Cricetulus griseus: one gene and its partner. The protein of the gene in region 2 interacts with the protein of the main gene of each other region in a biochemical or structural test. Links are inferred from orthologs where the notes say so. Each region holds a gene or a part of one and is shown on either strand. Other genes may lie near its edges.

Region 1 (4,248 bases), on a different chromosome or scaffold from region 2:
AAGCTCCACACCTGCGCGATGAACTATTTTAGTAAAAAGCCAAGCTCTGCTGCTTTTCAGCACAGAGAAGACTGGTGAAAGGTGGGACCAGGGTGGCGTCCTGCACGTCCTACCGTCCAGCCCAGTGTAAAGCAAGCTTGGCGGTGAGGGAGCGAAACCACCGATGAGCATCTTCCGCGCAGACACATTTGTGTTTTCGGCCTTAGCATATTTTCAAACCATCTGGCATCTGCGCCTCTCTGCTTTGCCAGACTAATCTGTTCAGAACTGGGTAGAACACCAGAGCCGTGTGCATTGTGGGGAAACCAAGGAACAGCACATACTTAGACAAGTGTTCCAAGTTATACAGCTAGTTATACTTGACCTGTATCCTCAAAACATTTCCAACGAAAACAGTAAGCTCTGTTAAGAATACAAGCACAGCTCGGGACATCTGTATGAATTATAACTGTCTAAGTTACCCAAGTCACTAGCGTGGTTTTTTTCCCCCCTCATTTTAATCTAAGCAGTCAAATATCAAAGGTAACTGTACAAAAAAATCACTGATAAATGAAATACTGTAACACATACACACACACACACACACACACACACACACACACACACACCACGTCTTTTTCCTTATATGCCCTGTTACCAAACTTGTGTTATTGGCAGCACTTAACCTTTCCTCACTAAATCTGGAGTCAGAATCGCTTCTTTAGAAACTGAAATAATCTATGTGCCAATAGCTCTATTGGAACAAACTTTCAGTTTAGTTTAAAATACTGACTTTTTCAGGGCATTAGTTACTACTGCACACAAATCACAGCTTTCTTTCAGACAGAGACAGAGATACAGTGACCAACACCTCAAACAAAAAGGTGCACTTATATCACTCTGCAACACACACACACACACACACACACACACACACACACACACAAACACACAAACACACACACACACACACACACACCCCTCACTCCTCCTGGGGGTAGAGGGAGGGGTTCTTATGGATTTTCAATTGCTATCCTGTTAACCTCTGAGAGCACTGCTTCTGCCAGTTACACAGACTCCCACCTAGTCATGTCACAAATTCTCAGCCAGCCTTTCTTACAAGTTTCTCCTATACAGTGTCCCTTCACGGTGTGGTTTGGGTTTTGTCTCTTAAACAAGGGCTGGCGGCAGAAAAGTGCCTTGGCATTCTACTCTAGCCATTCAGTTTCCCCAGGGGCTTGGTCCCCCTGCACTAAGGACAGCAAACAGAGTCCCTTTCGTCGGTCGTGCTCGTTCCTTGCTGGTCCCCTTGGACAAAGAATCCCAAGTCCCTTCTCTTGCAACTTCGGTGTCAGGGCTGGGCTTTCCTGCCTGTCAGACCCCAATTCTTTCATTCCCTCTTTGTAGCCATTCACCCGAGTCAAGGAATCAGCAGGTCGTTCCCTTTGAGCCCCAGGCATAGAGACTCCCCTGGGCCAGCACGCTCTCTCCCCAGCCATGGCTCCACAGAGAGACAGTGTGTCCCCCTCTTCCATTAACTTCTCCCCGACACCCAGGCATGGAGACTCCCCTGGGCCAGCACGCTCTCTCCCCAGCCATGGCTCCACAGAAGGCAGTGTGTCCCCCTCTCTTTTATTAACTTCTCCCTGACACCCAGGCATGGAGACTCCCCTGGGCCAGCACGCTCTCTCCCCAGCCATGGCTCCACAGAGAGACAGTGTGTCCCCCTCTTCCATTAACTTCTCCCTGACACCCAGGCATGGAGACCCCCCTGGGCCAGCACGCTCTCTCCCCAGCCATGGCTCCACGGAGAGACAGTGTGTCCCCCCCTCTTTTATTAACTTCTCCCCGACACCCAGGCATGGAGACTCCCCTGGGCCAGCACGCTGTCTCCTCAGCAGTGTGTCCCCCCTCTTTTATTAACTTCTCCCTGACACCCAGGCATGGAGACTCCCCAGGGCCAGCACGCTCTCTCCCCAGCCATGGCTCCACAGAAGACAGTGTGTCCCCCCCTCTTCCATTAACTTCTCCCTGACAACCCTGGTCTTCCTCACTCAGGGGTGCAACTCCGCGTCCCCCCTGCCGGCCGAGGCTCCCCGGGGCTCCAGCCCACGCGGAGACCCTCGCGGACTCTTCTGCGTCCCCGCCAGGTGGCCCCACGCCCGGGGCGGCCAGCGCTCGCCGCCTCCCTCAGGTCCCCAGGCGCAGTCAGGGGGGTCCTCCCCGGGCACGGGCTGCCACCGTCCCTCAGCGCCCCAACTCACTCAGCGCTCTCCCGCGCCCCGCGCTCGCCCTGCCATCCCCGACAGCTCCCGGGAGGCGCGAGTGCGCGGGGCAGGCCCGCCGGGTGCCTCCGGGTCCCACGCGGCTCGCACGGACGCCGTGGGCTGGGTCCCGGGGGAGCGGAGGGGAGGGGATGGAGGGGAGGGGAGGGGAGGGGAGGGGGAGGGGTGAGGTGCGGGGGGACGTCTGCCCCGGGGCTGTCCCCTCCGCCACGAGCTCCGGGGAGCTCGGCTCGCGCCGCTCGCCCGCCGCTCGCCCGCTCGCCGCAGCTACCTGCAGGGGCCGCCGCGCCTCAGCGCCTCGCCGCCGCCGCCACCGCCGCCGCCGCCGCCGCCATCTTGCATTTGAGAGCGACTGCACTTTTCAGGGAGTCAACTCTGACCCGTGAACCCTAACCCCGGAACCACTCGGACGGCCCTCACGCGGGGGGCCCACGGAGCCCCGCGGCCCGGCAGCAGCGACACGCGGAGCCAGGGTGCGAGGGGACGCCCTCGTCCCCCCACCCCCCACCCCCGAGCCTTCCGGGGCCGCGAGGAGGAGCCAGGCGAGGCGGGGCGAGCCGGCGCCCCACGCGAGGACTCCTCCGCTCCGCCGCGCCGCGCTCCGCTCCGCTCCGCCGGGACGAGACCCAGGCCGCTCCCCCCCAGGGTCCCCGCGCTGCGGGAGGCGCGCGCCGCCCCGCCCGCCCCGCCCCTGTCAGCGGAGCCCCGCCCCCTGTCAGGAGGAGCCACGCCTCTGTCCGCCCAAGCCCGCCCCGTCAGGGAAGCCCCGCCTTCCGGCGGCGCGAGGCCCCGCCCCTCTCAGGCCCATTGCTCCGCCCACCGCCGCCGCGGCGCGGAGCCGGCTCCCGCCTCCCACCGCGACCTCTAGTCACGTTCTTCTTCCACGGAGGCCCCGCCCTCCCTGGACCCTGACTCCGAGGCCCCGCCCCCTCTCTGGACCGTGACTCCGAGGCCCCGCTCCCACCGCCACGCCACGCCCACATCACCGTCCCTTCCTTCTCAGCCCCGCCTCCCGCCTCCCACCGCGACCTCTAGTCACTTTCTTCTTCCACGGAGGCCCCGCCCTCCCTGGACCCTGACTCCGAGGTCCCGCCCCCCAGCCACGCCACGCCCACCTCCCGTCCTCCCCTCTCAGCCCCGCCTCCGGCGGCCTCTAGTCACTTTCTTCTTCCACGGAGGCCCCGCCTCCCTGGACCCCGGGACTCGAAGGCCCCGCCCCCCTCCCTGGACCGTGACTCCAAGGTCCCGCCCCCACATCCACGCCACGCCCACCTCCCGTCCCTCCCCTCTCAGCCCCGCCTCCGGCGGCCCTCCCGGCTCCAGCCACGCCCCCTCCGGCTGTCAACAGTCCCGCGCGCCTGCCAGCGGCGGCTCCGCCCCTCCCGGCCCGAGCCGGCCCGAGCCGAGCCGAGCCCAGCCGAGCCCAGCCGGGCAGCGGCCGCCGCGGCTCCAGCTCTCTCCGGATGGACGGATGGGGAAAAGTTGAGCGTCCCCCTGCGAGCCACGCAGGGACGCTGAGCTCTCGTGGGCCCCAGCTGAGGTCCTCAGCGCCTTCCCCACCGCCTCTCCCCTCCCACGGTTAAAAGGATGGTGCAAACGAAGGCGAGAAGCAAGCACTCACCCCGAGGGTGCTCACGGCCCCGGACGCACCCCCATCCCAATCAGAGACCCTCTGTGCTTTGGTAGCAGGGTTCCTCCACCAAGCCGCACTACCCACTGCTAAAATCTGCAGCCTGCAATTGCTTGAAGGGGAGGCCCGGCTGCTGAAGTCGACGTGCACAATACTTTAATTGTATCCCAGATTCTAAAGCTCGTGCACCCCGAGGCTCGGTGATCTCACCAGCAGAGGTGCTCAACCCTGTGCTGCTCTCACCCGGTTCTTAAAACAAACAAACAAAATTTGACAGCGCTTTGGCTTCTTGGAACTAAATTCAGAATGTAAACTGCTCATGCAAATGGTTTAAGAAACCAGTAAATTGCGGGG
Region 2 (3,806 bases):
AAATGAAATAAAAGTTATTGCTGGTTACATTAATATCCTTTAAAAAAAAGGGGGGGCTGGAGAAATGGCTCAGCGGTTAAGAGCACTGGCTGTTCTTCCAGAGGACCCGGGTTCAATTCCCAGCACCCACATGGCAGCTCATAACTGTCTATAACTCCAGTTCCAGGAGATCTAACACCTTCACATCAATGCACATAAAATAAATTTAAATAAACTAGTTTAAAAAAAAAAAGCTGGAAGCTGGAGTTAACCTAAGCTGTCTTCACTGTCGTGTATGGTCAATTTAAATATCCTAAGTTCCCTCAAAAAACAAGAGTAGCAACTTTGGTCTTTTCTGGGTCCATTGAGAACTAAAGGTCTTGAGAAATTGGCGAGATTCAGATGTCTTCCTCCACTGAATTGGAATGACTTAGTGGGACTGCCAAGTTCAAACTAGCATCTCACTTTACAGGGAGTGCTGCTGAGATCCTCTGGAAAGTAACTACCCCTTCCTGTAAGACAGTGGTTCTCAACTTCCTAATGCTGTCAACTTTATACAGTTCCTCATACTGTTGTTATCCCAACCATAAAATTATTTCATTGTTAATTCATAACTGTAATTCTGCTGTTAGGAATCGTAATATAAATATCTGTGTTTTCCGATGGTCTTAAGCAACCCCTGTGAAAGTCTCATTTGACTCTTTCATAGGGGTCATGACCCCTTCAACCTGCTCTAACCCTGCCACTTAGTAGTGTTTGGTGATGACATGTGGCCATACACATAAATTAAGATACAAGAAGTTGATTTTGTTTGTCTTCCTACACAGTTGGAATCTCAGGGAGTGCAGCAGCTTTCTGTTCCTGCTTGCTTCATCTTTTAATACATGAGATGGGTGTCTGGGATTGTCATTAACCATCATAGAATGGGAATGTAACATGCTCTTAACTGTGTGGCTTCTGTCTCATGCATGAGTCCTTATCGTCTGTTGTAGACACAGTGAGCTCTTCAGAGTCTCACATCCTTTATCGCATATATATATATATATATATATATATATATATATATATATATATATATATTGTTAGTATGTGTGTGGGGGGGTGATGGATAATCAGAAAACTATTGCCTTAAATTTGTCAGCTCTGGGAACTGTTTGCAATGACCTAAGTTTGGGTCCATAGACCCACACAAATATGTGGGTTTGCCCCTGTAGTCCCAGCACTAGGGGCAGAAACAGGCAGAACCTGGGGCTGGTGGAGCCCTGGAGACTGTCTCACAGCAACAATGTAGTGAGCAGTAGGAGATGACATCCAGTGTCAGCTTCTAGCCTCCACTTTGACACAGGGGAACTGTACACCCTTACAACACACAGTAACAACACAGCTGTGTTAGCTTAAATAGGTCTAGATTGCATTTAAAAAAAAAAATTGAAGTGATGGGAATTTTCCTCTATAAGTCTCATCATTTTAGGAGAATTTTAAATAGTTCTTTCCTCCTGTAGTAAGGCTTCTGATAAGTTTCCTAACACAGCATACAAAAGCATTGGTGTAGCAAAGGGGATTTAAATGGAGAATTAGGAAGAGAGAATGTAAGAATATAAGCCATGAATTCTTTCAAAGTCACGAGTTTCTCGGGACAGCCCTGAGGTTGGGCTACTCCTGGTGGTTCTCATGGAGAGTGGTAGCAGAGAGCCTCACCATCTTCCTTATCTAGGACAAATTCATCAGTCTCACAGTTGATTGGTACTTTTGGAGTAGACTGCTGCTGGAACTAAGAACTAAGAATGAGTATTTTGTTCTTTTCTGTTACAAATAGTTCTTTCAAGCAAAGACAGTCTTAAGGGAGAGTTTGGGTTTGTCCTGTTACTCATCCACACTTCCAAAGCAGTTCTGTCTGGACCTCTGAAAGGCATTCTCCCTGAGTTTTCACATTGGGGTTCAAGAGCTGACAGCATGTGTGCCTCTACCTTTCTAGAGTGAAGACTTGAAGATTGGAAATCATTTACACACAGTAGCTGTCTGATTTCAGTGTTTCATTGCTTTTGATAATTAAAATAACTATGCAAAGATTTAAGATGCAGTACACAGAACTCTACTGTGATGATCACTGACTGGAAAGTATTTCTGGAGAGTCTTGCTTTGACTTGATTTTTTTTTATTTATTTAATTTATTGGCTTGATTTTTGAGACAGGGTCTTATCAGGCTTATCTGGAGCTCACTGTGTAACCCATCTGTCCTCAAACCTCAGCTTTCAGAGTGCTGGGATTACTGGCCTGCCCAGTCCGTGAGTCTTTAGTGGTAGAAGCAGCAGCCATTCCTGGACTCCTCGGAATGAAGTGGAGGTGAATGTTCATGGTTCCCTTTGCGTGAGGCCCAGGAGAACCTTCAAGTGAGCTTTCAGAGCTTATCCTATTAAGCCTCTGGAGTTGGGGCTGCACTTTGATTCATTTCTCACTCCCACCACATTACCTCTCCCTCATTACTGCTTTTCCAGCCTTTAGCGAAACTGAGAATTCAAACAGTTTTGATAACTTGACTGTTTTCTTGGATTCAGCTTGTTTTGGTGATAAATGCCTTATCTATTGAGATTTTCCAGATTCTAGATAATTTCCATTATTTTTGAATATCTATCTTGGCACTTAAAAAAATATCAGATATCTGAAGAGCATAAGACTTACATTCTTGGAGCTGCAGAGATGACTCAGTGGTTAAGAACACATACTGCTACTACAAAGGGTCGGAGTTTAGTTCCTAGCACCCATGTGGCAGCTCTTAATCACCTGGAACTCGAGTTCCCAGGGGTCTGACATCCCACCTTCTGCAGCATATGCACACAACCTACACACACACACACAGTGGGGGGGGGGCATGTAAAAAGACTTTTTAATCTCTGCTCTTGGGAGGTAGAGGCAAGAGGATCTCTGAGTTCAAGACCAGCTAGCACTGCATAGAATAGAATGACCCTGTCTAGGGGGAGGGGAGAGGACTGACTTTCCTAAGTCTGTCTTGTCTCCCCTCTTGCTAAGTAGGAGGACAGTTCCAGTGACCAGTGAATGTCTTAGTGAAGCCACTTGTGTCTTACACTGTTTCATTGTTGGTGTTTTATTTCATTCTAGGTCCAGGGACAGCCATTAATGGTACAAGTCAGTGGAGGCCAGCTAATTACATCAACTGGCCAACCCATCATGGTCCAGGCTGTGCCAGGTGGACAAGGCCAAACTATTATGCAGGTACCTGTGTCTGGAACACAAGGCTTACAGCAGGTAAGTAGTATTTTTAAGTATTTAGATTGTACATCAGCAAAGTTTGGTATGATTTTGAGTTAAGTAGTACTCAAAGGTCCTTAAGAAAACTTAGGCAGTGTTTAGCCTAACCAAAAGATCCAAGGATGTCTCTAAGACTTGGGGCCATGTCCTGATTCCCTCTACCAGGAGTCAGTCAACCGGAGAGCTTCGGGAACTTGAGGCTCTAGGCATGTCCTTTACAAACTCAGTGGGTAGAAGGTAGCTTGGAGAATCCCCCCAAGCTGAAAGTAACCTCCTAGCTGATAGATCAGCAAAGCAAGGCTTGAGAGGGTCAAGGAAGAGTGACAGACCATTACAAAGCTGGTGAGAAGGGACATGGAGATCTACAGGTGGGCCAGGGATAATGACTTTGTTTATGTGGCTGGGCTTCCTGGGTTTTTTAGGTTGGGGGTATTCTTGAGTATAAAGTACTAGAAATTTTGCATTGTAGGGCCTTCCTAAATGCTTTCTCATTGGATCTTAAGAGGTTTGTATTCAGTGGTAAAGGAAATAGGTTCCTGCACATTGAGCAAAGTGGTAAA

What was found.
Region 1: the proteins of Nfya (region 2) and Zhx1 form a complex in vitro, tested with the Homo sapiens proteins (2 studies listed by BioGRID). The link is inferred for Cricetulus griseus from reciprocal best matches to the Homo sapiens genes NFYA and ZHX1.

The regions. Positions count from the first base shown.
Region 1 is NC_048603.1:29,563,261-29,567,508, reverse strand, and holds the start of Zhx1 (zinc fingers and homeoboxes protein 1), read right to left. Parts: upstream 2,855-4,248; 5' UTR 2,536-2,854; intron 1-2,535. UniProt on the Homo sapiens protein: Acts as a transcriptional repressor. Increases DNMT3B-mediated repressive transcriptional activity when DNMT3B is tethered to DNA. May link molecule between DNMT3B and other co-repressor proteins.
Region 2 is NW_023276806.1:254,894,627-254,898,432, forward strand, and holds part of Nfya (nuclear transcription factor Y subunit alpha), read left to right. Parts: intron 1-2,228; exon of another isoform or gene 2,229-2,369; intron 2,370-3,096; coding exon 3,097-3,243; intron 3,244-3,806. UniProt on the Homo sapiens protein: Component of the sequence-specific heterotrimeric transcription factor (NF-Y) which specifically recognizes a 5'-CCAAT-3' box motif found in the promoters of its target genes.